Linked DNA regions of Xenopus tropicalis. The protein of the gene in region 1 binds, or shares a complex with, the protein of each later gene. Links are inferred from orthologs where the notes say so. Each region holds a gene or a part of one and is shown on either strand. Other genes may lie near its edges.

Region 1 (9,770 bases):
ACAAAATGTAATAGTGATTCAGAATTCAGATGAAAATATTGATTGAGAATAAGCACAAAAAATATAGTCAGTTGCTTTCAGTGGCCTAGTTTTACTTTTTTCCCTATATGCCATATCAAAATATAATTTGACAAAATTGTGATAGACCCGAGTAGGGCACTCTTTTTATTTACTGCCTTGATGATCTTGTCATATCTATAAGAGTAATGCAGTTTAAAGCTCGTGTCAGCCTCAAAAGCTGCAGATAGTATGTGTCAGGCTAGGACTGAGATTCAAAATAGGCACTGGCATTTCCAGTACACAAGGCACAAACAGCCCCCTAAATAGTGACTTACAGTAGCCCCTCTGCCATTTGCCAGAATTCAGATTGCCAGTCCAGTTGTGCTACATATAATGAAACACCAGATGTGCTTGGTATTCTTCTTTACTTGTTATGTTTGTTGTAGAAATGGTTGCTATAGCTGACCAGACTGTATGCCCTAATTGTTGCTAGTCTTCCTTCTGTAGGCTGTTCTGACAAATTTACATGTGATGCCCTAAGATCAGTATTATTGTGTCAAAACAGAAAAATATGTTTAGCCAATGCCTACAGTCACCACTTTTAGAAAGGAAGCCATCGGCCAACCTAAGGCTACATTTCCCTTGAGATCTGTTCATTAAATACTTGGAATTCAAAGGCACTTAGCACACTGGAGGTTTTATATTATTTGTATATTAGCTTAGCATTATTTCATTGGTTGGCCTGAAGTGTGGGGCTATGCAACTTCCATCAGATTCAGGCAGTTTGCGCCTACCATAGTATGTATATTTGCACAACCTGCTGACCTCTCGTTTTTATAGGGCACGGTACCTTAAAGTGGAACTATCATTCTAATGATAGAACCTTCTAAGCGATAGAGCCGGCACTAGTTCCAGAATATTCTCATGCTGGCTAAGCAGTTGCACATTTTGACAATGTTCCTGCTTGGATATCCGGAAGCTTGAAAGCAGGTTTAAAAAAACCAGAGAAATTCTTTTTGGCAACCAGTATTCACAAACATCATAGTACTGTTCCGCTGGATTCTTGTAGACACTGATCATGTTTGAGCCTACGGTCTGTAAGTAATGCAAATGGTATGACACGCTGAAACGCATTGTGACCAATGAATAGAGCTGAGTCCCAAGGGAGTACAGCCTACAGCACAATAATAGAACACAAGCCAATATGCATAAAACAAATCCTACTCACTAGGCTTTAGCTGATAAAATCAACTACCTGTGTAATAACACAGCAGAAGCAAGGATTTCTCTGGTGGCCGCACTCATTCTCTCTGATCACTAATGTAGCTTGCTGGGTTTTTTTTTTATATAATTAGTCAGCTGGTCACGCTCTTCAAAAGCAATGAGAAAGGCCTGATTGCTCATATAAATAGTGTTCACTTTTATTTGTCTGTTGAAGTGTACAAGGAGATGTGGTTTATTAGCTATCTGTGTAATGATGTCCGTGACTATGATAGAAGATACAGAATATAATATATGCTGGTTTGTAAATACGTTTATTTGCATTAACACTGTAAACCTCTACAATAAAATGTTTATTGAAAAAATTATTGTAATTCTTTTGTAAGATATCAAGCAGGTCGGTGTAACCAAATTACGTCCAGATCTTCATTGCATTATTGTCACTGCTACTAAATATTTACACACACCTTCTATAACATAGAGAACATTAAAAAAAATATTCACAGTTCTTTTATATTTGGACACAATTCTGTGGAATGAGATCCTACATCTAATGATACAGTCATAGCATTAGAAGTCACATAGACTTCAATATAATCATACATACTCTATATCCAGCAGCAGCTGTTTGTTTAGAAATATACCTGTATTTTATTATGGAGCTATTACCCCTTATATTATAACATTCTATCATTCACATCAGTCCATGCTCCAGAGAAGCTTACAATCTGAGTCCCTAACAACATTCACACACCATGGTCAATTCAGTCAGTAGTCAATTAACCTGCCTGTATGTTTTTAGAGTGTGGGAGGAAACCACATAACCCAGAGGAAGCCCACACAGACATGGGGAGACCATACCAACTCCTTGCAGATAGTATCCTGGCTGGGATTGAACTCGGGACCCCAGCGCTGCAAGGCATAGAAGTGCTTCCCACTAAGCCACCAATCTGTCTAATGGTCGTGTATTAATGTAAAAATGTCTGTCCATAAGGCACCTTGACAGATTTAGTAAACATGAAACAGTAAGGCTAAGGAAAAGCCTTTCCATGTCAATGAACTATTTAAACAATATATAATATATTTCTAGCTTGGGGACAGCTCATTTCTAACCCCGGCACTAGCAACTGGATTAGTCTCAGGGTCTTGTTTGCTAAACTAATATCAACCTTTGCTCCATAACGCCTCATGCTGTATGTTTTGCAAGCTTTAAATTAAACTTTACCAGAGCTGATACTACATGAGTATAATGCTACAGCATGGACATGTGACACAAACCGGTTACCTTCACATGTGTAAAACAATATAACGTGAAATTAAGCAGATTGGTTCACATATGGATACTCTATTTCCAGATCTGGGGGATCATTTAGTCATGCAGGTCATGAAATATTTCTTTTTACAATGTTGAATTAATTATTACAAGGGTGGTTCACTTTAAATTTAACTTTTAGTATGTTATAGAATGTCCTTTATCTTCATTATTTAATTTTTATAAATTTTTAATTATTAGCCTATTTCTTCTGCATCTGTCCAGCTTTCAAATGGGAGGAAACTGACCCCAGCAGCCAAAAAAACATTTGTTCTGTGAGGCTACAATTTTATTGTTATTGTTACTTTTTTTTTTGCTATTCGTGTTCCAGTCTTTAATTCAAACCACTTCCCGAGTACTAAGGTAAACAAGGCCTTAGCAATCACATAGCTGCTGAAATTCCAAACAAAGAGCTGTGGTACAAAAAGCTAAATAGCTAAAAGAAAAACCTACTGCAAATTGTCAGAATATCTGTGTATGTCATACTAAAAGTTAATTTAAAGGTGAACAACACCTTTAAGCAGTGATACATAGGTATTGTGAGTTCAGGCTCGTCCCCACTGCCAGGGGCAATCGATGATTCACAAAGTAAAATACGGTACAGCACTCTGAAATGGTGAAAAAGGTGAATTTTATTTCTGCCAAAGGCTAGACAACCACCCTTTATCAAGCCTACTTACTGTGTTACACACTCGCTATAAATCGGTGTAATAGGGGAAGGGGTAAACCTACTCCATCCATTTCCCCAAACACTACATTTCCCATAGTGCTCTGTGAAACAGTTGTCATATATAGATATCAACTCCATCTTTGCACACACTTTCAGATAAGCTACCATTCCTATGCCTTAATACTGTATGTCCCTTACTGTATATCTGCACTTACACAAAGCAGTCTTCTACTCTGGTGTGCAACTTAAAGCTGCAGTCTTCTCTTTGTACCCTCCCATGTCCACAGACACAACTATGGGAGCACGGCTAAAATATATAGCCACAATACTTTAGCAAACTGAAATCAAATGAAGGGGCAGGAAAAGTACTGAAGTTTCCACACATTCCAATAAGGTGCTCGGCCGTATGTGTCTCGGCCCTGCCCCATACTGCGGCACGTAGAACTCTTACAGCAAACACTTCTATATAGATATCATCATGGTATTTGCCTAAATGAGTTCCTGCCTATTTGAAACAAAAATAATTCAATGCGGATATAGAAGCCGAGAATAAAAGCAGCAGATAAACAGAACTTTTTTTTTACAAAAGAAACATTTATTATAAGAAACTAGAAATGGGGAAACACTCAGGAGAAGACAGTTTGATTATATACTATTTGGCACTTTCTCTTGCCTTTTCTTTGACGAGATTCCTGTTTTTTGAAACTCTTCCCTTTCTTTTAAATATTCCTGCTTGCATTCTTCATATAAAGCCGGATCTTTGTAGCTTTGGGAATAAGAATACAACACAATGGCAATAAGGAAGCAGCAGTACATCTATAGGGAATCCATTTTGAATTACAAGTTTGGGATCTTTTACAGGTTTGGGATGCATTATCCAGAAACCTGTTATCCAGAAAGTTCCGGCTCCAGAAAGGTCCCATACCTGTATCTGAAATGCCTGGGACCTGGTTTTCTGCATAAGGGATCTTTCTGCCATTGACTGTGACATGATCTCGACAGGTTTTAGATAAAGCGTTTTCGGTTTCGGAATTGTCCCAGTTTTGTTGCATAATACATCTTGGAAAGTTAAGATTTAAAAAAAGAAAAAATGCCTCCACATATTTGCTAAAAAAAAATCTTTTAAACATAAACTAAACCCAATAGGATTTTTTTTGCTGAGTTTGTGCTGTACAAGGTTCTGTTTTACTATTACAGAGAAGAATCATTTGCTTTAATAGACAGGAGCTGGTAATTAGGAGCTTTCTGGATAATCAGTTTCCAAATAAAAGATGTATATATACACATGTAAAATATAATACAGAAGAATTCCCTCTCCTACAAGTTCCAGTTCTTTACTCTCCTGTTCTGTAACTGAATTGCCTCCTTTCTGCTGCCAATTCCCTGCTCATGGAACCAGAGATAGTTGCAAGTGAAGAACGCGGAGTAGTGATCCAGGTGCTGTGTATAAGTATCAGCCAGGAGTGTGTACATCACTGTGTTAAGTGCTAGTAGCTATGCCTTTTTTGCCTAAGTTTCACTGTGATATTGGCATTATCAGTTGGAAAAGAATATATGTAGGGTTGTATGTATGTATATATGTATATATATAGTTGCTTTATGTGCCTAAACAGTGGCCTCTCTCTCTTTACTTCAGCTTGCCTCTATGTCAGGGGCCACTACACAATCTCATCATATTCCCTTTATATTTGTCTGGTGTGTATATGCAAAATCTTAAATAACAAAGAGAAAGGCCAGAATACTATTTGACAGGAAAGTGTGACTTGCTCCTGTGATTGGCTGAAAGTCATTATAAATTTAGGCTATTACTGAGAATAGCTTCCAGGCAATTTTAGTCTTCTGGGATCCCCTCTGTTTGATGGCAATTTCCCCCCACTGCAGAGCATGTAGCCTTAAATATTCTCCTCAGTTACCACTTCCATATCAATACCAATACTATTTCTGCAACACTGTACAGGGTACGTATTGAGGAAAATTGTTTCCCCCCACCAGAGATGTGGGATAATAGAGCTTGCATTTGAACTGGGGGAGACTATTCTCCACCCCCGGCACTATGCCGCCCGCTCTGTGAGGGAGCTCCTGGTGTGGGCGGCCATTCTGGGACACAAGCATGCAGAATAGTGCAGCCTCTGTTAGCCTGATAGGTGTCATTTAAGTCTGTTTCCTTTCTGACAGGGCTGCTTTTAATGTATGCAAATTCTTCATTAACTACCCCTATTGGAAATAACTGAAGGAATCTTACAGATATTTCTGTTTAGTATATATGGCCTATTATCTACTAACCATAAAGAAAGAGGGTTTTCCTGTTACAGGGTTAAGGATTTTTATTTGGGCTAGCACATGAGAGGCAATCTGAATTACAAGACTGTCCCTAGTTAATAATCATGTTTAAATCATGTATGATATTTGCACTAAAGGAAACCAAAATTTTTTATTTTATTATTATACTTTATACAATGTTTGCACAGTTTTTAAGGCTATTATATATAAATATCAAAACAGAAAAGTCAACTTACTGAAGAGTCAGGCACTCCTTCAGCGCTGCGTTTTCATTTCGGCATTTCACCACCATCAGGAGGCCACTCTCCTTGCAACATTTTGTAAAAGCTGGAAAAAAATACACAAACCAGCATGGTACTGAATTTATTGTTCAATACTGCAGTTCAGACACAACAACCTGCAGTAAATAACTGCATTATGGCATCTGGCTTACATTTTTTCCCTGTCACTGCATTGCAAGTCTGTGCTTTATGTACTGCTGCAAAAGCATTGTAGCTCAGGTACAAAAAGGCACAGACACATGTCAAGTTCAGTCTTTTACCCATATAAATTCCATGTACTGTAGCATTCAACTGATCCACAAGAGGAAAGAATGAATCACATTTGTGTCACAGTAAATTAATATTTTATATGGAGCTATACCTGGATGAAAAAGTTAATTATGTAAAACATGTGAATTATATGATTAAAATGGAGTCTATGGGAGATGGCCTTTTTGAAATTCAGAGCTTTCTGGGTAGCGGGTTTTTAGATAATGGATGCCATACCTGTATATGTATTAACACATGTATTTATTTTTCTTCTCTACCTTTATTGTGTACTAGCGCAGCCAGTATAAACTTTTTGATGTTATATAGGGCCATTATCATTTTCTTGGTTTTCCAACAGTAATGCCACCTATACAAAGGGGGGGGAACACTCTAAGGCTAAACAAATTAATAGTAAATTAAAATGGAAGTGCAATGGGCAAATCTGCCAGGTCACATTGCACTTGCAAAATGTCACGCAACATAAATCATACAGGCCACAAAGCACTCTTTTACTAACCTAATAAGTGTGAATGTAAACTTCCCCTTAAAACTATAAGGAAAAATACTGTAAGGAGGGTGTACAAAAAGCAAATTTCTGTTCTGGTGGTTAAAGCTATTAGTAGCTGCTGCCTCACACCTTAGAAGAAAAGCAGAAGAAAAACTATTCTGGGTGAAAAAAGCGGCTCAAGCTGCCATTTCTCATGCCACATTGTTTCTGTGGTTTCTCTGGACAAGGGCACATACACAGACACATACCAACCACACTCACATGAAAAGAAATAGTATATGTTGTATTTCATATAGCCGATATATATCGATATATTACAGATTGCTGTGTATTGACCCTAGGGCCAAACGATTACATTAGCTCAATATCACCCACCTTAGGTGGGCATATCAGGAAGCAATCTGCTAATTTAGTGACTTCGGCAAGCAAGCAGATTGCACCGTGTATGGCCACCTTAACTTGTATAATATGGATCCAAATGAATTGTTGATTGGTTGCTATTTACAATTGTTCAGGTGCAATTTAGCCATGTTAGTAAATCAGATCCATTGCCACTGGGTTGCTAAAATTTCTAGATTACGGTTTTTGCAGTCTCTTAGTTGTACTGTGTAGTAACACCATGAAGGCATTACAGAGCAGGGCAGTGAAGTATCACCAGGCCCCAAAGAACCAGTGGTAAAAAAGAAGCTGGAAGGATTGTGTCACAAATTTTGTCACACCATCTTTACACTCCCACCTTTTACTATAATTAACACAATAGCAGTAACCAGCTTCATGTTTAAACTCTCCCAGTCACAGTCAGGTGATCCCTGTCAAGTATGAATGCTGGAAAGCAGGTTGCGGGTAAAACTTATTTAAAGGGGAAGGAAAGGCAAAGTCACTTGGGGGTGCCAAAATGTTAAGCACCCCCAAGTGACTTTAACTGCTTACCTTGTACCCCGGGCTGGTGCCCCTGTTAGGAGAAAATAGCACCAGCCCGGGGCACCTGGAGCGCAGCGCTTCCTCCTTCCGCTTTCCACTTCCTAAACTGCCGGTGGCCGGGCATGCACAGTAGAGCGAAAAAGCCGACTTAAATGTTTAAGTTCGGCTTTTCACTCTACTGCGCATGCGCGCGCAGCGAAGCCGGAAGGAGGAAGCGCCGGCAGCTACCCCGGGCTGGTGCTGTTTTCTCCTGACAGCGGCACCAGCCCGGGGTAAAAGGTAGGCGGTTAAAGTCACTTGGGGGTGCCTAACATTTTGGCACCCCCAAGTGACTTTACCTTTCTTTTTCCTTTAAATGCTATCATTCTTAATGAATAACATGACTCTTGGTAAGACTGGCCAAAGTACCACAGGACATTGGTTGGCCCTCACCAAACATGTAGAGCTGCCCATACTCATTCTATATGCCACACTGTCTTTTGGCTTATCTAAGTACACTGACTTAGGTAGTAAAGTTCAGCTAATAATGATATTTGCACTATTGCAGTTTTTCTATTTTCTCTTATGTCTACTACCAAGCCAGAGTTTCCTTTATGCTCACCAGAACTGTGAAATAGAGCTCCAATCAAAAAGGATCTAACATTTTTGGTTCCTTTTTATTTTCACCATTTCAATAGTGGACTTTTTAAGTGCTTTCTGTTACTATACATGACAAAACCTAGCAGGCTGGATTAAGCCGTTTTTGAGAGTCATGAAAATCCATCTTTTTAAACCAGTCAAAACTATCCAACTATGCTGTTATGGCCAGAGGATCCTATGTAATCTACCATGAACCCTCTATAAAATAACCACGTTCAAACACTTTTGACACAGGCTCCATATTTACAGAAATAAACCATTCAATCGGAATCCTTTTACATATATAGATAAAATATTTGGCACCAGAATGACTATCGATACATTTCTATGCACTGCAGAAGACATATGAGTTCTAGTGACTGCATTGCCACCGAGACATCACACCGATTTGTTAAAAACAAACACAACATATAGAGCGCGCAGTGGAACTCTCTGCTGTGCCCTGGTTGCAGCTAAAAACTTCTTTACAATTCTTCTTCTTAATAGCTGACCCTACTGAGGTGTCATCTCACATGTATATTATCGCAACACTTCAGATATTGTGATCACACTCTTCAGATAAATGGAAGTGTTTGCTATGAATAGGGAGGGCTACTCTTATTTATTTATTATTCTGCATGCTGAGCAGTGATATGATTTGCAGGCATTAAACAAAGAGCATCCGAGGTAGAGTCGGCTGAACAGCTGTAGGCGCACAGCAGAGGCCTCTCACTTTCTAAGGACAAGTTCCCATGCCGGCCTATTGCTCAGCTTGTTCAAATACCATCTACACATTCACCAGCATTATCATCAGCGGAGACTGCAACTCTGTACTGAACCCATAGGCCATTTTTCAGCATACAGACAGTTAAATGCTTGTAACCTAGCTGCAAAACCTGTAAAGGATGCAAAAAGCAGATTCCAAAAGCAATTTCATGACAAAGCTAGCATATCTTTAATTTGGTGTCAGATCAAGGCTGATTAGGTTGTAACTCCCAAACATAGTCTGTGCAAGTGCTCAGAGAAGCTTTAGTAGGTGCAATTAATGAGCCACGAAGGTAAGAGGATCAGCAGTCAGAGTATATCACATATTGCACTGCATTACTCCATACTGAAGCGCACAAGCTACTTGGTATTTGCGACGTATTACAGATGCCAACCAGGCCTAGATTGATCGCGGTTCAGTTGACATGACTGAATATCTAAAATATCTGACTTAATTAATTCTTACCTGATTAGGATGAGGCTGATATTCAAAGTAAATCAACTGTCCAGTCAAGTAGAAATCAATATTTCTGATTTTACTTTTAAATCACTTTCATAAATAATAACATGCCTGCCTACATGAGGAGGGTGCGTTCTGCAAACGCTATCCGGTTAGAGTATGCATAGCACAGCTGATTAAAGAATTATTCTAATTTGCGCACGGGTATATACAAGAATGAGATTAATCTAAATATTGGGAGCTGGAACAAAGTCATTAATTTGGTGGCCAAAATAAATAAATAAAACAGGATGTTTCGGAGATAGCAGCAATACACTGCCACTGCAAGACTGCACAACTTAAGGGATCTCTTAAAGAAACAGGACTGCTTAAATTTAACTTAAAGTTTAAAATACTGAATGTTTTCATTATTATAAAATTAGACGTGAAGCATCTGTACTGCCATAAATAAAGTTTCCCTCTTTATTTCTGCTTTCAGGCAGGGC
Region 2 (10,719 bases), on another chromosome or scaffold:
CCGACCGATTTCAGCAGCTTCCTGCGATATCGGTCGGCTCGCTGACATGCCATACACGCACCGATTATCGTACGAAACGAGGTTTCGTACGATAATATCGGTGCGTGTATGGCCACCTTTAGGCACCTTATCTGACAAAGTTTGGGCATGCCTGACAGGCCTACCTGAATGATATGTGGCATAAGATTGGGCAGATATCGATTGGACAATTGATTTTCCCTTCGGATCAGGGACTGCATCGCCTCATTGATGTGGACTTTGGTCCAATGAGATATGGGCATACAAAGCGGTTCACAATGTGTATGGCCACATTTAGGGCAGTGACACACAGGGAGATTAGTTGCCGCGCGACAAATCCTGGTTGATGTCTGGCCCCGCGGATGGCATACGCCGAAGTTTCCTCTCAAGGCAACTTCGGAAAATCGTGGAGCCGCGTATGCCATCCCACTGGTGATTTACATTCTAGCCGGTGGGATGGCATTGTGGGGAGATTAGTCGCCCGCGACAACGGAGATTTGTCCCCATGTACCCCTGCCCTTAGGCAAAAGCAAAATTGTAATTACTTTTGATTTGTGCAGTTTTTTCAGTATTTGGTTTCCTACTTTGTGTCGACCTAGCCTTGAATTTTAACTTTTGGTTTAGTTTAGGGTTAGTGACTTCAAAATGATTGTGTGACTAAAGAATGTAGTTGTGTCTGCTAAGCGTAGTTACAGTCACACAAAGCTAGCCACAGTTGTTGCGCAAATATATATCATTTAATAAAAGTTCTTGCGTCTAAAGATGCACTTTTGCACAGTTTCATTTTAAAATGCTTAGAAAAAATGTTGCAAATCAAACCTAGATTTTACTTTTTTCCCAGGGACATTTTTTTATACTTATTTACTGCCAAATTTGTCTGAATGGCGCTTTTGTAAATTCTTCATTATGTACAGGCAGATTATTGGCTCCTGATAGAACTGATTTCAAACGTAGTGGACACCAAGCGCTCCGGACTCCGGGGTCTCTCATAAAATCAAATCTTTATTGTTGCATTAAAAGAAGGAACGCCTAACGCGTTTCGTATGCCAAGCACACTTATTCATAGGCTTAAAACAACTGTACAACAAGGAAGTGTTTAAATAGCATATACAGAGTGAATGACATAATTAGCAAGCTAATTCACCTGAAAGGGGGCGGAGAAATGCAAATCCGCTCAAACACATCCTAATGAAAAAAAAAAACTTTAAACAACTTTAATGAAACTCAAGAAATGACACACAATACTAAGAGAACCCCACTATACAGATATATATATAATAATAAAAATAAACAAATTCACTCTCACAGGTGTACTAACATGCAAATATCCCAGAGAGACTATTACATAAACACTTTGCAATGATTTACAAGAAGTCAGCATATATTTAGTGAACTAGTTCACTCTCATGCATGTGCAAATAAATATCTTAAAAAAGTCACGATGTAACTACCCTATAACAAGTTACAAAAGATCAAAACACTGATTCTGGTTAGAGTTATAAATACTATGATCAGCTAATAAAAGCTAGATAAGTCAATAAAATTTGTAAGAAATATAATACGAAAATAAAGAACAAAAAACAATGATGTAATCAGACTAGCAAAATGAATTACCGGTAGTATACAGAAAACTAAACATAGCAACTAACATCAAAAACTGAATTCAACCCTCTCGGGTGATGTGTATCCAAAATAAAAATCCATTTAACTTCAGACCTTAAGAGCTTTGCATACATATCAGTTCGTCTTTCATCAGGAGTTATTTTCTCTATAGCCTGGATCTGTAAAAATGTTACATCCGAATTGCTACACTGGACAAAGTGCCTAGATAATGGACTATTGCCATCTGTTGCTACTATGTGTCTTATATGTTCCCTCATACGACATTTTAAAGACCGAGTTGTGCAACCAACGTACTGCATTCCACATTTAGAGCAAGTCAAAAGATAAACCACGTATCGTGTGTTGCAATTAGCATACGACTGCATATCATAAGATCTACCAGAATAATAAATAAAGATTTGATTTTATGAGAGACCCCGGAGTCCGGAGCGCTTGGTGTCCACTACGTTTGAAATCGGCTTTTTTTCCCCTTCAGCTACGGGTTCGGGGCCCTGAGCACCCGGACCAGCCAGGGATACCGGTGAGCTATTTTGACTTGTACTGACTATGCTTGACCATTGTGTTCCTTGAACAGCATTTGCGATACGTCCGGGGTTTTTACACCCGGACCTCACTGTTTAGATTGGTACGGATTGTATTTTGGGAATTGGAGCATTTATTATCATATGCAGAGAAATTTACTTTTGTTTTTCGTTTTTGTTTTACTTTATATGATATATTATCTTACCTCTTTTTCTTTGATCCTGATAGAACTGACCTTACTAATATGGCCTTATTTATCAATTATCCAGTTTGTGAATGCTAGAGTTCTTTGCTTATTTATTAAATCAGAATATGAAAAAGTCGATTGAATAAAAGTCAAAGAAACTCAAAAATCTAAAAATGCACTTACTAAACTAATGGCAGGTTTTTGTATTAAGAACTGGGGCAACAGATGTAAATACTTGATTTAAGATTTAAAAATACCTGTCCTGATTTTTAGTTTTTGCATTGTTCTGTACAGAAGTATAGCTATGGAAAATGCCCTGGGATTTGCTTGGTTACCAAGAATGCGTGTAATATGACAGTGTTTCATGTTCAGAACTTTGGTGCTGGTATTATGCTGGTACAAGTGTTGGGGAGGTCATGTTTTCAGTCTATCGATTTCTGCATTTATCTTACTAGCATGTCTAGAATAAATGAAATCCTTATTGACTATTTTTGCAGTGATCTTACTGTCTTGTCTGAAATAATGTAATTGTCATTGTCCATTTCTAGAGCAGTCTTACTGGCGTGTCTGTGGCTAATGTAGTGCTTATTGGCCATTTCTACAGTGGTGTTACTGGCTTGTCTGGGGTTAACAGAGTTCTCATTGGCGATCTCTACAGTGGTCTTAAGCTGGCCATACACGCACCGATAATATCATATGAAACCTCATTTCGGCGAGGAGGAGGCTGCTGATATCGGTCGACTTGCCGATCGGCCAGGTTAAAAGATTTAGATCGGGCGCCATAGAAGGCACCTGAGCAAAATCTGCCGTCAGGGCTGAATTGGCAGAAGGAGGTAGAAATCCTATTGTTTCTACCTCCTTATCTGCCGTTTCAGCCCTGAACGGTTAGTGGCTGATTGAACGATCTTTCGTGCGACCGATGACAAATCGCCATGTGTGTGGCCACCTTTAGGTTGATATACTGATTATTCATTTTCTGTAGTGATTATACTGGCAGGTCTTGGGTTATTATGCCCTGATTATATTGACATGTCTGGGGTTAATACGCCTGTGTGCCTAGGGTGGTAGCTTTAGGGGGGTGGTCCTGGGGTGCTTATATAATTGAAAAAAATAAATAAAAAACTAAAAAACCTCCCCATTAGGGTTGCCAACTTTGCCAGAGGGGACGGGGCAGACGGCATTGGGGGTCGAGCAGTGATCACAATGATGTCAGTGATGCCGAAGTGGGGTTACTGCATCATTTGATGCAATTGGCTGGATTTCTGTCCAGTTTTCTCAGTGTTTTCAACTGGAGAGAACTGAACAGCCCTTTAAAAAATTTGGACGTCCATTCAAAACTCTTGTTTCAAAAGTGCCCAGGGTGGCCTTAAACTTAAATACAGCCCTGTCCTTTATCCATTTTATCTTGTAATTATACTGAAACATTTGTGGTTTATATGCTCCTTATCAATTGTTTGTGGTTATACTGACATATTTCAGTTAATATAATTAACTTATTTAATTATTATTTAACTTTTATTAATTTAAATGTTTTGTTTATACTGACATGTCTAGGGTTAAAATAATCTTTATCCATTTAAGGGATTATACTGGCACCTTTTGGGTTAATTTACATTTCCTTTTGTAATTATACTGGCATGTCTGTAGGATGTAAAATAGGTGTAGTATGTAGGGGTTGGGCCAGTTCTTTTTACCCCTCTTTATATTTTTTAAATGTTGGAAAGTATATGCTCAAATCTGTATATTAGCAGACGTGACAGGGGCATGCTTGGTGCACTGCATGGAAGGACAAACTTTGCTTATGTAGCATTTTTTTGCTACTTATTTATTTTACATACCAAAATTTGTAAAGACAAAAGAGTCATTTACTTAGGCAAACCTTATGCAGTACATGCAGTAAGTCCTTTCCTACCACAGCTGATGTATGTTCTATTTTTAGCGGAACCAAGGTAATAGAACTCTGTTTCCTCAGGTTGGGGAAGAGTTCAAGCAGAGCTCTAGTTATTAGCCAACCAGAACACAGCTTTCGTTAGTACTTGCTATATTGACAAATCATATCGCATAACACATCCACAGAAATGATTGCTGCCCGTGTCCTTGTTGCTTCCTGGTTTGCCCTTTTCTCCCATGTCTGACAAGGCTGCTTTGTGATCATGTCCAAAAACACCAGGATAGTTCTCATTTTCGGTGGTTTTGTCACTGCAGTGGCAGCAGCTTTCTACCCTATATTCTTTCACCCGCTCATGCACATAGATGAATACAGTAAGTAACCTGTAACTGGTACACAAGGAGAGCATCATTGCTACTGACATGCCAGTACTTCACATGGACACCATGATAGTTTTTTATTTTAAAGGGAATATAAATACGAGCATCGGTATTATATGGATTTATGTTATTTTAATTAATTACTTGTTCTCAGTTTAAATACTAGTTGCCAATAATTGTTAAAGGGAATTTAAACCCCAACACTTGTATGTGTTGTACATGTGATTTGTACATGTTGCGGATGACAGCTGATTAACAGCCCTGTAATAAAACTTGTGATGCTGCCTTCTGCAACATTATTTCAAGAGTCAGAACCATAAGAGTGAAGACACATGGAGCTACTAGTAGCAGCTACTTGTCACGGCTACTAAAACAGACAATGCTGATCATTTACTGATAACTGTCTCTACATGTGTTTTAGCAGAGGCAATTCTCAGTATTGTCTATGGCAGGGTGTTTAGTAGCTGTGACAAGTAGCTGCTACTAAGTAGCTCCATGTGTCTTCGCCCTAAGGGCTCTGGCACACGGGGGAGATTAGTCGCCCGCGATTAACTCCCTGTTCGCGGGCGACTAATCTCCCCGAGTTGCCTACCCCTGCCATCCCACCGGCGAACATGTAAGTCGCCGGCGGGATGGCAGACGCGGCGGCGCGATTTCGCGCAAGTCGCCGAAAAAGACTTGCGAGTCTTTTTCGGCGATTCCCTGAAACTGCCCCGCCGCGTCTGCCATCCCGCCGGCGACTTACATGTTCGCCGGTGGGATGGCAGGGGTAGGCAACTCGGGGAGATTAGTCGCCCGCGAACAGGGAGTTTTATCGCGGGCGACTTATCTCCCCCGTGTGCCAGAGCCCTAAGTGGGACAGAAAAATACTTGTGATTAAACGTACAACATTTAGTAACCCATAGCAACCAATCAAAAACATTAGCTGACCAGTAGATGCTGCCTGCTGATTGGTTGCTATGGGCTACAAGAGTTATTTTACCCCACTCTGTCTTCAACGAAGTGTAAATCAGTTCTTTGCGCACAGGTTATGGCATTAACTGTTATTATGAAATAGGTTGCAAAATAAATCTGGTGATGATAAAGGGATATTGCTCCATCTTTTTTCACAATGAAATTTTGAAGGGACACTAGCATCACTAAATACAGTTTGTATTTGTGTCTGAAAACAATGCGCAATATTCATTAAAGTGTATTTGTAAAAATGATTTGCAGAAAGGGATGCTATTTTTTCACTGTCTATTCACATATTCACTTTACTCTATGTAGATTTATCATATATTAACATAACCTATAACAGAATTATGTAGTACAGGTATGGGATCCCTTATCTGGAAACCCCTTATCCAGAAAGTTCTGAATTACGGAAAGCCCATCTCCCATAGACTCTATTATAAACAAAACAGTACCTTGTACTTGATCCCAAGATATAATTACTCCTTATTGGAGGCAGAACAGCCCTATTGGGTTTATTTAATGGTTAAATGATTCCCTTTTCTCTGTAATAATAAAACAGTACCTGTACTTGATCCCAACTAAGATATAATTACCCCTTATTGGGGGCAGAACAGCCCTATTGGGTTTATTTAATGGTTAAATGATTCCCTTTTCTCTGTAATAATAAAACAGTACCTTGTACTTGATCCCAACTAAGATATAATTACTCCTTATTGGGGGCAGAACAGCCCTATTGGGTTTATTTAATGGTTAAATGATTCCCTTTTCTCTGTAATAATAAAACAGTACCTGTACTTGATCCCAACTAAGATATAATTACCCCTTATTGGGGCAGAACAGCCCTATTGGGTTTATTTAATGGTTAAATGATTCCCTTTTCTCTGTAATAATAAAACAGTACCTGTACTTGATCCCAACTAAGATATAATTACTCCTTATTGGAGGCAAAGCACTCCTATTTGGTTTATTCAATATTTAAATTATTTTTAGCAGACTTAAGTTATGGAGATCCAAATTACGGAAAGATCCCTTATCCGGAAAACCCCAGGTCCCAAACATTCTGGATAACAGGTCCCATACCTGTATTAATATCATATTTTGCAGTCTGCCACTAGGTGGTGCTGGTAGGTAACTCTGACAGCATAGAAAGCTTTCTGTTAAAAACCCAGAACTATGGCATTGCTGCGAAAATGCCAGATGCTGTTTAACAAGCTCTGAGGATTCTTCAAATTCCCCCCTAGAAAAAAGAAAAAATCTTTGTGTAGACATAGACTTCATAAAGGGGTAGTGCTCCAACAGGGGTTCGTAATTTGGGATTTTGCTGAACTCACTTTAAGCCTTTTGTTTTAATCACAAAATCAGTATAGTTTATGTTATTTCTTGAGCTTAACAGGGAAATATAAACTACTTCATGTTTGGTTCTTGTGAGGTAGATAATAGATACCTGTGCGCAGTTAAGCAGAAGTCCCTTGTGCAGGGAAATTATCTGTGCACTTGTTTGCATGTAACAGTTATTTCCAGTGAAAGCAGTGTGCACTACATAGTGTAGTCCATATCAGGGCTGTGGAGTCGGAGGCAATTTTGGGTACCTGGAGTCGAAGTCGGAGTCGGCAAAAAATGAACCGACTCCGACTCCTACTAAATTTAAATGGGAATAAAAAAAAAAAAATAAAGCAAGTTTAAATGTCCCAATTCACAAACAGTCATAATTAATTGCTTCTCTGCTATAAGAATAAAGCCCAATGCACGCAGTGCATAAACGAACACGTTGAGTGACCATGAAGCATGCTTTTCATTGACTGTATGAATGTATAAAATACATTAGCATATTAAAAACAGAGGAGTCGGAGTCGTGGAGTCGGAGTCGGAAGTATCAGAAACTGAGGAGTCAGAGTCGGAGGATTTATCTACCGACTCCACAGCCCTGGTCCATATAGCCTACCCCATAGGAAAACATGAAACATTTTAGCTGAATGTAGCTTGTTTAGCTGTACAATATATTAATTATTTGTCTGTTTGTATTAGAGAAAGAGCAAGCTGTAAACCGAACTGATGTCATCCAGGAAAACGTACAGCCCACTGGTAAGTAACTCTTATATATATAAGTTACAAAACAAAATAAAAGTTGCTTGTTGTCTGTTTGTTGGGTGAAAACCATCCCAGGATTCATTCCTGTGTGTTTATGTATCTGCAATGAGCTTAATAAGACTAATACAGGTATAAGACCTGTTATCCAGAATGCTCGGGACCTGGGGTTTTCCAGGTAAGGGATCTTTCCGTAATTTGGATCTCCACACCTTAAGTCTGCTAAAAAAATTATTTATACATTAAATAAACCCAATAGGATTGTTTTGCCTCCAATAAGGATTAATTAACACGCAGTTGGAATTAAGTACAAGGTACTGTTTTTTTATTACAGAAAAAAAGGAAATAATTTGTAAAAATTACAAAGAGATTTGCTTAAAACGGACTTTCAGATAATGGATCCCATACCTGTACTAAATCCAGTGTGTTAAATCAGTGATTTTCCTTCCCCTTATTTGCAGGGTTGCATGAATATAGGAATGAAAAATAATTACAAGTAGTACACCCTGCAGTATTCAGTATTGCAGTTTTCAGCAAATTTGTAAAATGCACAGGTGCATAACCCATATAAACATCAGCTTTGGTCAGAATAGTGCTTGTTTGTTTAGTCCTCTGAAATGATAATTATGATTATAAATTAGAATTATATACCTCACTTCTATTGTCACTAACAGTAAATTACTATTCCGTTTATATTACGGTTTAGAGTGTTCATTTCCAAAAATTATCATTCTTTTTAGTTGTCCTGGTCCTGGAAGTTTTCCAAGACACCTATGTTGGGCCCCAGTGTTTCCTTGGGAGAGGTATAAAAGGGACATAGCTACAGCCGTACATACAAATATGCAGGGAAGGAGACACAGCTTCAGACATTGTTACATAACACTGATGGGTCATTTAGACGTGATGTTGTTTGTGTTATTTAAGTCACGATGAGCGTTTTTCTTGCGCTATTTTCCGTGCGTTAACTCCCGCAATATATTTTGCCGTTTGCTATATTAGCGCACAATTTAACGCATGTAACCATTACGTTCATAAAACTACTTTGCAAAAAGCTCACCAACCACAATTTTCTTTTAAGTACCGCCTGCCCCAAGTAGGTGTTAATCTTCGCACAGACTAATGCGATATTTAGCGTGTTTATTGCTTCATATGTGTTTGTGAATCATGCGTTAGTATTATTTCTACGCGCGAATTAACGCATCGCAGTAGCGCGTGATTTAAGGCATGCAAAATTACTTTGACGAATGGGTTGTTATTTATCGTGTCATTTTTAATGCAAAATACCATGTGATAACGCTTATCGACCTTTAGTGAATCAACCCCTTAGTATGTTATAGAATTGACTATTTATAGCAACTTTTTAATTGGTCTTCATTTTTTATTTTTTAAATTATTTGCCTTCTTCTGACACCCTCTTTCAAGTGGGGGTCACGGAACCCAGCAGCCAAAAACTATTGTTCTGTGAGGCTACAATTGTATTGTTATGGTTACTTTTTATTACTTATCTTTCTCTTTAGGCTCTCCTCTATTCATATTTGTGTGTCTCTTTCAAACCACTGCCTGGTTGCTAGGTTAAATTGAACACTAGTAACCAGATAGCTGCTGAAATTCCAACCTGCAGAGCTGCTGAACAAGAAGCTAGATAATTCAAACTCCACAAATAATAAAAAATGAAGACTAATAGCAAATTGTCTCAGAATAGCACAATCTACATTATACTAAAAGTTGAATGAAAGGTGAACTACTCTTTTAAGCACTATATGTACAGGATTGATGGCTTTGTTGTGGCCCTAGTCCATATAAATAAATGTATGTATGTAAGTATATTTTTATATAGTGCTAGTTGTACACACAGCGCTGGATTTATGTAAATAAGAATGCTCTGTGTATACAGTAAGTCAGATACAGATCAAAATGGATCATGGACGCTACTTATAAGTGGCATAGATGTTGCCTGTAATGGATTTGAAGTATTCATCTTCTTTTGTATTATGTTGTTTGTACTTTGTTTGGCAGTAAGTTTATAGACTGCAAATCTCAAATGAACCACAGACTGTAAACATTATTAGACATTCCTTTTAATATGGATTCTGCGACGTTGCCAGAGATCACAGCAGCATTGGACAAGATTAACCCTACATGCCTTATATGGAGCTTGTAACATTAATTTGGGGGTTATTGCTGTTTCCTATATCTTCTATGGAAGGAACACACAATGCCATTTGAAAGTGGCAAGGCCAGCACTAAAAGAGTTAAAGCTGTTTCAGACTGTTTGTCTAATTTCCCGTATCCAGTGTGCATTCATTTTACTATTTTTTTTTTTTTTTACAGGCTTGAAAGTGTGGTCTGATCCTTTCTCCAGAAAATAAAATGGAATGTGGCTTTGTGCCGTTACTCTGGAAGATGTGTAAATTGTGAAGAATACGCGAGCCTAGTCTTTTGTACAAAGTATAAATAAAGCAAATATTTTCATTTTTGTTTCTGATCAAGTGGACAAATAACACAAAAATGTTTCTGATGTCTCTCCATAGTTTTCAGTTTTGTCCAGTGTTGTAATGTTTGTGGAGAAGGCATCCCCCAGGCTGAAGTGCAGCTGTCCTGCACTGGGAACTGTGACAGAACACTGTATTTCATTGATTTACATGATCTTTGCTTGAATACGTTTCTCCAGTACATTAGAGGACAACTTCTTTCTATTGAGCTCAAGCTTCCTGTGTCGCAAATTTCTAAAACTATACTCTAACCTCCATATGTGATAAAAGGCTTTAAGGAGCAGTAACCTATGGGTTACTGCTCCTGGGCAGACTTAGTGCCTTTTTTATTATTTTTGTTATTAATAACATGTATTTATAAAGCGCCAACATATTCCACAGCAGTGTGCAATCACTGGGTTTATACATCGGACATAAAGAATAACATACAAAGCAACTGTTAATCGATACAAGAGCTGAAGAGGCTGCAGATTTTTTACATTTACGCCTCCATTTGAGGTTGAAAAATTAGCACAGGGCCCCCCATTTTCTTAAACTAATTGGTCTTTATGCTGAGCGCACATTTTT
Region 3 (10,767 bases), about 52 Mb from region 1:
TGCTATTTTCTCCTAACAGGGGCACCAGCCCGGGGTACAAGGTAAGCGGTTAAAGTCACTTGGGGGTGCCTAACATTTTGGCACCCCCAAGTGACTTTGCCTTTCCTTCCCCTTTAAAATCATATACATACAGATATGGAGTGTGCCCATTACATGACCTTTACTAAACTATCCCACAAGGGATTAAGCATATAATGTATGTGCATAACTAAGAGTTCATTTTTAATATATACAAATGTAAATAAAAGCAATCTGATATGTACATACTAAATGTTTTTATTTCATAAAAGTTAACTCTTAGTTATGCATATACAGTATGGTGTATAATAGGTCATGTAATGGGCACACTTCATAGCTGTATTTATATGACTCCTTTATCTACTTCTTTAATGGCCTCCTAAACCCCCCACCCAAAAGGAATATATGCACACACAAGCCAGAAGGAAGGAAGCATCAGTGATCAAAAAAAACTTCTTTGACGTCTTGAGTCCATCACTAGCAGCACACTCATAGCCAACTTCCAATTTCAAAATTTTTTAAGCAGCTTGAAAATATTTTACAATTGGTTAGCTTGAGTCAAGCCTATGCTAGCGGCAGCAATTTCTGAAACCGGGGAGAAAAATTCTGACTCCTGTGGCCCCCCTAGTTCTGATACAGAGTGCCATTCTACAACAATTTTTAATTGGTCTTCATTTATCTTTATATGTAATTTTTGAATTATTTAACTTTTTATTCAGCAACTCTCCATACACGGTTTAGTGTGTTTAGGAACTGTTTAGTTAAGAAAAAAACTTTGTTAATACAGTGGTGTGAAAAACTATTTGCCCCCTTCCTGATTTCTTATTCTTTTGCATGTTTGTCACACAAAATGTTTCTGATCATCAAACACATTTAACTATTAGTCAAAGATAACACAAGTAAACACAAAATGCAGTTTTTAAATGAGGGTTTTTATTATTTAGGGAGAAAAAAAAATCCAAACCTACATGGCCCTGTGTGAAAAAGTAATTGCCCCCTGAACCTAATAACTGGTTGGGCCACCCTTAGCAGCAATAACTGCAATCAAGCGTTTGCGATAACTTGCAACGAGTCTTTTACAGCGCTCTGGAGGAATTTTGGCCCACTCATCTTTGCAGAATTGTTGTAATTCAGCTTTATTTGAGGGTTTTCTAGCATGAACCGCCTTTTTAAGGTCATGCCACAACATCTCAATAGGATTCAGGTCAGGACTTTGACTAGGCCACTCCAAAGTCTTCATTTTGTTTTTCTTCAGCCATTCAGAGGTGGATTTGCTGGTGTGTTTTGGGTCATTGTCCTGCTGCAGCACCCAAGATCGCTTCAGCTTGAGTTGACGAACAGATGGCCGGACATTCTCCTTCAGGATTTTTTGGTAGACAGTAGAATTCATGGTTCCATCTATCACAGCAAGCCTTCCAGGTCCTGAAGCAGCAAAACAACCCCAGACCATCACACTACCACCACCATATTTTACTGTTGGTATGATGTTCTTTTTCTGAAATACTGTGTTACTTTTACGCCAGATGTAACGGGACACGCACCTTCCAAAAAGTTCAACTTTTGTCTCGTCGGTCCACAAGGTATTTTCCCAAAAGTCTTGGCAATCATTGAGATGTTTTTTAGCAAAATTGAGACGAGCCTTAATGTTATTTTTGCTTAAAAGTGGTTTGCGCCTTGGAAATCTGCCATGCAGGCCGTTTTTGCCCAGTCTCTTTCTTATGGTGGAGTCGTGAACACTGACCTTAATTGAGGCAAGTGAGGCCTGCAGTTCTTTAGTTGTTGTCCTGGGGTCTTTTGTGGCCTCTCGGATGAGTTGTCTCTGCGCTCTTGGGGTAATTTTGGTCGGCCGGCCACTCCTGGGAAGGTTCACCACTGTTCCATGTTTTTGCCATTTGTGGATAATGGCTCTCACTGTGGTTCGCTGGAGTCCCAAAGCTTTAGAAATGGCTTTATAACCTTTACCAGACTGATAGATCTCAATTACTTTTGTTCTCATTTGTTCCTGAATTTCTTTGGATCTTGGCATGATGTCTAGCTTTTGAGGTGCTTTTGGTCTACTTCTCTGTGTCAGGTAGCTCCTATTTAAGTGATTTCTTGATTGAAACAGGTGTGGCAGTAATCAGGCCTGGGGGTGACTACAGAAATTGAACTCAGGTGTGATAAACCACAGTTAAGTTATTTTTTTTAACAAGGGGGGCAATCACTTTTTCACACAGGGCCATGTAGATTTGGAGTTTTTTTTTCTCCCTTAAAAACGTAAACCTTCATTTAAAAACTGCATTTTGTGTTCAATTATGTTATCTTTGACTAATAGTTAACGGTTTTTGATGATCAGAAACATTTAAGTGTGACAAACATGCAAAAGAATAAGAAATCAGGAAGGGGGCAAATAGTTTTTCACACCACTGTATATAGGCTGTGCAAAATGAAAAATGTATTTAATATAGTTCATTAAATATAATGTGTAAAGGCTGGAGTGAATGAGATAGCCAGAACAAAACTTCCTCGATTGAATCGCTAACCTTTTATTCAGTCAGCGACTAGAAGGGAGGCCACAAGCTTCAAGCTTAGGCAGAAACAAAGGACGTGTGTTCACCCTTTATAGATTCAATTTTTGGCTAACTAAAACTGAAAACATGTTTTATTTTACACAACTGATCAATTCAACCACTTTTATTTTTACACTGAACTGTTCCTTTAAGGAACAGTAACAACAAAAAATTCAAGTGTATAAAAGAAATTCCAATATAATGTACTGCTGCTCTGCACTGGTACAACTGGGGTGTTTGCCTCAGAAACACTACTATGGTTTATATAAAGAATGCAGCTGTGTAGCCACGGGGGCAGCCATTCAAAGGAGAAAAGGCACTTAGCAGATAACAGATAAAACACTATCGTATTATACAGAGCTTATCTGTTATCTGCTATGTAAAGGTCCCCATACACGGGCCGACTATAGCTGCCGATATCAGTCCCTTGGACCGATTCGGCAGCTAATCGGCCCGTGTATGGGCAGAACAGAGCTGCCTGGCCGACCAATATCTGCCCTGAAATTGGCCAGATCTCGATCGGCCAGGTCCCCGAACCGACTGCACCATAAGCTCAAATGTAATCTGATCGTTTGGCCCCAGGGCCAAACGATCGGATTATTTTTTTTTTAAGTCCCTTGCTACCCGATATCGCCCAGTAGGTGGGGATATCGGGTGAAGATCCGCTCGCTTGGCGACATCGCGGATCTTACAGTGTATGGGCACCTTAACTTGTGCCTTTTCTCCTTTTTTCCAGCTTGAATGGCTGCCCCCAGCAGCTTATTATATATATATATATATATATATATATATATATATACACAGCAGCTTATTATATATAAACTATAGTATAGTTACTGTAGCAAACACACAACTTTTACCAGTGCAGGGCACTAGTATATTATATTTTATTTACTTTAAAACTCTTTAATTTTTTGGTGTTACTGTTCCTTTAAGGCTGATAAAAGCACTTTTTAATTAACACACTTCCTCCCTATTGGCCCATGCATGGATCTGTTCAGACAGCCTGTCTGACCAATTTCTGGTCAAAAATACTTCTAATATCTATTGGGCAGGTCAAAATTTCAGCCAGATGAGTGCTTAACACATTGTGGTCCTCCCCCAACAGGACTCCATAGGCCTGCCCTACGGCACAATCATTTGCCCAGGGACCATATAGCAGACAGATTTGGCCCAGCCTGTGGGTGGCTTTAAACTAAGTTTTAAGACTTTATAGACATCTTGATGTTGCAGCATGAGCTGAAGGTGTCTATGGTAGAACCCATATAATACACACCTGGCTCAGCTGACTGCTGTACTGACAAACAACTAGGCTACTTCCAATGCAAGCCAAACCATCCATCAAGCAAGTTTTATTTAGAACAGAATTATTAAAATGTGAATTTTTCATAAAAATATGTTTTGGATGTTGGAGGAAGAATAATACCACAGAATTTAAATAAAAAATAATAGTATACATGTAATATATATTAATTACCACCAGTTACCACAGCACCGCAGCACTCATTTGTTTCTTGCCCCACTATTTTACTGCTAGCAATCCTTGAACTCCTACACGTTCCTTCCCAGTTCTGTGTACAAATTGTGCCTTGAATTATTAGGTCTCCAAGGCCCAATAAAAGCACTATAACTTTCTTCATAGAGAAAAAAAACACAAATAATGTGTCAAACAACTTCTCTCCCTCACACTGCCCCACTCACCGCTCTGTCTTCGGGTCCGGCTTTTGGTTACTCTTGGAAACCAAGAACTGGGTGGAGTGTTGGTCACGTGACAAAAAGGGGGCGGGATTAGACGAAAGCTCTCTAGTTTACTTTGCTTCTCTCACGGGAATAAAATGGTACCAAACAGAATCTTTGCAGCGGGTTACCAGATACGTGATAGATAGCTGAATCACATAAGCAAGTTTATAATTGTATTATACAGCTTTACGCCTTATACATGAATACAGATATACGTTTGCAGACTTTAGGAAAGGCAGTTGCAATTTGCCTTTCGTGACAATGGCTAAACAGCAATACTATCTCTCCTTTGTCGTTTAAGCCCCTGCTACAGGTCAACAGGTGTGAGCCTGTCTGTTCCAGGCGAAATGCTTTCAGGGACTTGTAGTCCTTATGCTTTCAACAGTCGTAAGAAAACATGGGGAAGTCCTCCACTCAGAACTCAAAGTCCCACAAGCAACCGCGGTTTCTTTTTCATTGATTGGAGAAATATATGTGTAGGGGGCGTAGCTGAGGAAGCGGCAAGGCCTGTCAATTCCATGTGCCCAGAGTAAGGGCTAGCTGCGTGCCAAATTATAAACCGTGGGCTCTGAGTGAGGGGCCACTTTAGTCAGTTTACACAAAGCACTGATAATGCACGGACTGTGATGTATGTGTTGGCAAGAGGGGTACAATGATGTTGCCTCGGTGTTTGCGGAGAGCGGTCCTGTGTAGTTCTAGGGCACTGGGGTCACCTCGATCCCTGACTGTACCCTGTTACAGAAACCTCTCATGTCTGCTACTTTCCCAGCAGCGGGCCCTTGCTGTGCCAACAAGCCGGTTCTGTGCTGAGCGGCCCATAAGCACGGGCAGTGCTTTGCTACAAGTGAAGGACAAGCGAGTGTCTGTGCAAAGCAGAGGTGACGGGGCGTCTCCACAAACTGCTTCTCATAAAGGTATTTGACATTATGAATCCTGTGGGTAATGCTAATCCCATAGTCTCCATGTCATGCTTCCATTGCAGTTTGTGATTTGGGAATGAGTAGATTTGGCAGCTCTTCTGTCTTACAGTACGTGCAAATGAGTCTGGCCTTTCATATATAATGTAGGAAGGGCTTTGAGACTTTAAATTTAATTTATATACAGTGTTATTTATTTATTAACATTTATTTATAAAGTGCCAACATATTCCGCAGTGCTGTACAATAAGTGGGTTACATACATTGGACATACAGAGTAACATATAAAGCAATCAATAACCGATACAAGAGGTGACGAGGGTTATCAATGTATGTATTCTTTTGTAGCTCCACTAGTTAAAGGGTGGGTCACCCCACCCCACTCTTAGCATGGCTAGTTCTTAGCACCTTTTCAATTTGTTTTAATTTTTGATCATTTTTTAATTATTTGTTTTGCTCTTCTGACTCTTAACACTTTCAAAAGGGGGTCGCTGACCCCAGCAGCCAAAAAACTTTTACTTTTTGAAGCTACAATTTCATTGTTATTGTTACTTTTTCATGCTTATCTTTATACTCAGACCCACTCCCATTCATTATCCAGTTTCTCATTCAGACGACTGCCTGGTTCCTAGGGTAATTTGGAGCCTAGCAACCTTATAGCTGCTAAAATTCCAAATTGGAAAGTTGCTGCATATCAAGCTAAATAATTAAAACACCACAAATCTTAAAAAATGAATTCGGAATTCAGAATCACACTCTCTACAAAGTACAGAACGTTAATTTCAAGGTGAACAACCCCTTTATATGTGATATATAGACTCTTATGTAAATGTGTATAGGGATAAAGTGTGACATTTCGTGGAACATTAGGTCATGGTAGTTGTCAACATGGTCATCAAACAGGCTTGTGGCTATGATCATAGTCCAGCGATATTAAATTTGCCAATATATACATATTCATCAGTCTTAACTAGTATACAGCTCATAAGTTGGCATGGAAACAGACTTAGCCAAATACCTGTTGTTTTTTCCTTTAGAAAAATCTAGTTTTCCTGCTCACCTATCCTAATCCGGCAGTATTCAGGGCAGCACGTGAATAGACATCCCAAATGTTTTACACCTAATGACTTTCAGACTGGTTTGACGGACGGTATGTGGAAATGATCATGGACCCCTATCAGAACTTTTGACCCTCCCCAAATAGGGCCAGTTCTAAGAAGCTCTGGTATAGAGGGCTTATTGATGTATATGCTGTTTTGTGAATTTGCAAAAACTTTTGGTAACTTTTATTATTTCCAGTAAAGATATGGATGATTCAAGAGCCAAGTTCTCAGGTTGAACACATTCCAAGTAGAGAGAGAGCATTGAATTACTTTATTTCCGTAGATGCTGGGCTACCTATGGGCATTGTTTTGAATCACATCCAGAAAATCTGCTGTTCAAAATTAGTTGTTGGAAGGAAACTTACATTTTGCCATACAGTTTTGATTTTTTTCAACACCTACAACACAAAACAATTCCCTTAGAGAGCTCAGTTTTTCATGTCATAAAAAGAATGATTAATAGAGTTGCTTTCAGGTTTTTTTTAGTGAATTGTTTTTTCTGTCAGAAACCTTGAATCAAGTCTTGCTCTGATTGCTGAAATCTGCAGTTGATTGCAAAGAAATGGAGCACTTGAAATCAAACTTTTGATCAGATTTAATAGGTTTAATAAAAACTCTATATGTACAGTATTTGAAGTTTTATTTTCTTAAGGTGGCCACACACAGGCAGATTAAGCTGCGGATTTGGGCCCTTCAGACCAATTTAGCTTATCTGCCAGTGTACAGGCCTACCTGACCAACATCTGTCCAAAAATCTTTCAGATGTTTGGGCACCTTTGATTTTTCTGTTGGGTCGAGGAGCAGCACTGGCTCGTTAAAACAGCCCTCATCCCAGTGGGCTGTATCCCCGTCATTGTGATCTGATTGTTTGGCTCTAGGGCCAAATGATCAGATTAGCCCAGTATTGCCCACCTTAGGTGGGCCTATTGGCAAAAGATCCGCTTGTTTGGTGATCTTGCCATACAAACAGATCTTATAATGTAAGGCTAGCCTTACAGATGCATTCTTGGTTTATGTCCCCAATAGAGGGAAAAAATTAAGGCATTTGAGAGCACCGCCCTGCGCTAGTTATATTTGCTGCCATATGTACCACCCATCAGAACAGCAATCAAAATGTAAATGTTTCACGCTTTTTTTTTTCTTTTGCCACCTCACACCATATTGGATATATACTGTCAAAAATTCTTTATGCCTAATAAGCTAAGGCAGTGCTGTCCAACTTCTGTGGTAGCAAGGGATGGTATTATTCTGGCCTATGTGCTAGAGGGCCAATCATAACAGCCAGTTTTGACCACTCCGCTTTTTAAACCACACCCACTTCAAACTACACCCATGTTATCACAAGAGCTTTTAACACCATACCCACATTAATGGTGATAGCACACAAAAAAAAACCAAACGGTTGGTGTTCACTGCAGAGATATCACCCATAAGTCATATGTGAAAGAAGTGGATAGAACAGTCACCCAGCACATAATTAAACCCTTCAGGGACCCTTTAACAACTTTTTCCTAATGCTGACAAGCTCCCAGAACAGGCCCCCGCCAAGTTCACCTCCCACAGGCAGGGTAGGGCAGGCAGAGTATGGCACACACAGACAGCATAGGCAGGCAGAGTATGGCACACACAGGCAGCATAGGGCAGGCAGAGTATGGCACACACAGGCAGCATAGGGCAGGCAGAGTATGGCACACACAGGCAGCATAGGGCAGGCAGAGTATGGCACACACAGGCAGCATAGGGAAGCAGAGTATCGCGCACACAGGCAGCATAGGGCAGGCAGAGTATGGCACACACAGGCAGCATAGGGAAGCAGAGTATGGCACACACAGGCAGCATAGGGCAGGCAGAGTATGGCACACACAGGCAGCATAGGGCAGGCAGAGTATGGCACACACAGGCAGCATAGGGAAGCAGAGTATGGCACACACAGGCAGCATAGGGCAGGCAGAGTATGGCACACACAGGCAGCATAGGGAAGCAGAGTATGGCACACACAGGCAGCATAGGTAAGGCAGAGTATGGCACACACAGGCAGCATATGTCAGGCAGAGTATGCCTCATAAAGGCAGCATAGGGCAGGCAGAGTAGGGAAGGATACAGTAAAACCTACCATATCAATGTAAGTAACTCATCATGACCACTTCAAGATGAACAGTTTATAGATGGAGGAGGAGGTGTGAATAGGTGAACAATGCAAGAGTTTACATGTCTTAGTCTGAGGTGTGAACAGTGCAGGAGGCAGTTAATCTCAATATTGATACCATTTAAAGCTTACATAAAGGTAAGCAGTGACAACAGCCAGATAGATGGGGGTCACACAAGGGGGTCTGCGGGGTGGCAGTTGGACAGCACTAAGGTTTTTAAATTCAGACTGAAACATGTGTCTAAACTGCTACCTTTCTGTTCAGTATGTGTATTTTATGTGTTTGTTTTAAACGGATAAATTGGCACTACTAGCACTTCCAATGACTGGTGATTGCACCTGGAAAACAAATACTAGGGTGAGAGAGAAACAAAGAGAATAGTTCTTATTTTATTTTTCTATAAACCATATTGGGTTTGGTGCATCCCTATTTTTATTGTTCAGAGTGTATTTTATTTGTGAATTAGATTTAAAAAAAAAAAATTAGATAGTAGATGTGTTGTCCAATTGATTGTAGGGTTTTATAATTTATTTTCATTTGGTTTAATTCAGTTTACATGACATCACTTAATGACAACTTTGTCTTTTTTAATTTCAGTAAAAGAAGCTGGCAGAGACTTCACATATTTTATTGTGGTACTGATTGGAATCGGCGTTACAGGTTAATTTGCTGCTTTTTGCGTGGCCTAGTAGTAGCATATGTCTGTTCCTATTTATTTGCAATACTTATATTTATTTGTTGTATAATACTTATATAACAGATAATTGGCCTACATTTTTTTTGTTTTTTTACCAGTTTTTCTGACATTAAAGTTTTAAAAACTAATTGTATTTTTCCCCACCACTCCAGTTTCTCAGTAAGTCAGATCAATGACTTTCTATACAAATATAAATTATACATTAATTAATACATATCGCAGCCCCTACTAAGCATGCTTCCAAAACATAGGGGGTAGTTCACCCTTAAATTAACCACTTTTCAGATCAACTATTTATTCAACTAATACCGTATATACTTGAGTATAAGCCGATCCGAATATAAGCCGAAGTACCTAATTTTACCTAAGAAAACTGGAAAAACTTATTGACTCGAGTATAAGCCTATAGGGTGGAAAATGCAGCAGCTACTGCTAAGTTTTAATAATCAAAATAAATACCAATAAAATGACATTAATTGAGGCATCAGTGGGGTATATGTTTTTCAATATTTATTTCAAAGAAAAACAGTAAACTAGCTGTGTAAGTGGAGAAGAGGGTCAACAAAAACAATATGAGTTCTACCCCACGCTCATTGCACATTGGCAAACTGGCAGCAGACCCAGTCCCGGAGGAGATGTAAGGGGAAATAAGTATTGCTAGTGGGAGCCTAGGCCAGGGCCCTGGAGGGTCTGGTTGCGGGGGGCCTAATTTGCACACAAAGGAGAGAGGGTGCTAGTCTAGAGGGACCCATGGCACCCGACTCAAGTATAAGCCGAGGGTGACTTTTTCAGCACATTTTGGGTGCTGAAAAACTAGGCTTATACTCGAGTATATACAGTATATCAAATTTGACCTAGCATACAGAGCTTATATGAGAGGCAGATAATTGTAACTAATTCATTTTAGCCTTAATTTTAAAAAATGGTGAAAAATAAAACAATAACATTAAAAGAAGACAATGGTTTCCGCTGTACTATTAGAAAACGATTAAAGGAGAACTACTTCTTTAGGAAATTTTAGACAGAGCAAAAGAAAAAAATGTGTTCATGGTTTTTTTTTTTTTTTTATATCTAGGAGGACTTTTCTATGTTGTCTTTGAAGAACTTTTTTCTTCTTCAAGTCCAAGTAAAATATATGGAGAGGCTCTTGAAAAGTGCAGATCTCATCCAGAGGTAGAGTACCAACTTGCATTCTGCTCAAACAGGAAGTTGACACTAAACTGGTTACTGTGCATGCCTTCCCTCTCCTGCTTCACTTGCATTTCATTGATTGGATTGGCTGAATCTTGGCAGCCAATGGTATCAGATATGCAAATGGAGCAGAAAAGGAAAGGCATGCATTGAAACAGTTCTCTGTGAACTTTTTTTATTTGGCTATCTGCCATGTCCTGTTCTGGGAAATCACCTACAGAAGGAGTACAGAAAATATTTATGCAAAATGTCTTTTTTTTTTTTTTTTTTTTTAAGATCTGTATTGACTGATGCAAATTACTCATGTAGCATAGGCTATACACTTATATGGGATGCCAATAAAAAAATGACACGGGTTATAGACACCATGCTTAGAGACAACCCTCTCAAAACTGATTTTAATTG

The links.
Region 2: cmc1 (region 1) and smim20 share a complex: the UniProt entries of both Homo sapiens proteins name them as parts of the MITRAC (mitochondrial translation regulation assembly intermediate of cytochrome c oxidase complex) complex. The link is inferred for Xenopus tropicalis from reciprocal best matches to the Homo sapiens genes CMC1 and SMIM20.
Region 3: cmc1 (region 1) and timm21 share a complex: the UniProt entries of both Homo sapiens proteins name them as parts of the MITRAC (mitochondrial translation regulation assembly intermediate of cytochrome c oxidase complex) complex. The link is inferred for Xenopus tropicalis from reciprocal best matches to the Homo sapiens genes CMC1 and TIMM21.

The regions. Positions count from the first base shown.
Region 1 is NC_030682.2:48,479,478-48,489,247, reverse strand, and holds the end of cmc1 (COX assembly mitochondrial protein homolog), read right to left. Parts: intron 5,811-9,770; coding exon 5,720-5,810; intron 3,970-5,719; coding exon 3,849-3,969; 3' UTR 3,777-3,848; downstream 1-3,776. UniProt on the Homo sapiens protein: Component of the MITRAC (mitochondrial translation regulation assembly intermediate of cytochrome c oxidase complex) complex, that regulates cytochrome c oxidase assembly.
Region 2 is NC_030677.2:31,910,125-31,920,843, forward strand, and holds smim20 (small integral membrane protein 20), read left to right. Parts: upstream 1-4,419; 5' UTR 4,420-4,503; coding exon 4,504-4,612; intron 4,613-7,600; coding exon 7,601-7,657; intron 7,658-9,991; coding exon 9,992-10,029; 3' UTR 10,030-10,178; downstream 10,179-10,719.
Region 3 is NC_030682.2:100,288,955-100,299,721, reverse strand, and holds the start of timm21 (mitochondrial import inner membrane translocase subunit Tim21), read left to right. Parts: upstream 1-4,940; 5' UTR 4,941-4,959; coding exon 4,960-5,221; intron 5,222-9,071; coding exon 9,072-9,134; intron 9,135-10,246; coding exon 10,247-10,344; intron 10,345-10,767. UniProt on the Homo sapiens protein: Participates in the translocation of transit peptide-containing proteins across the mitochondrial inner membrane.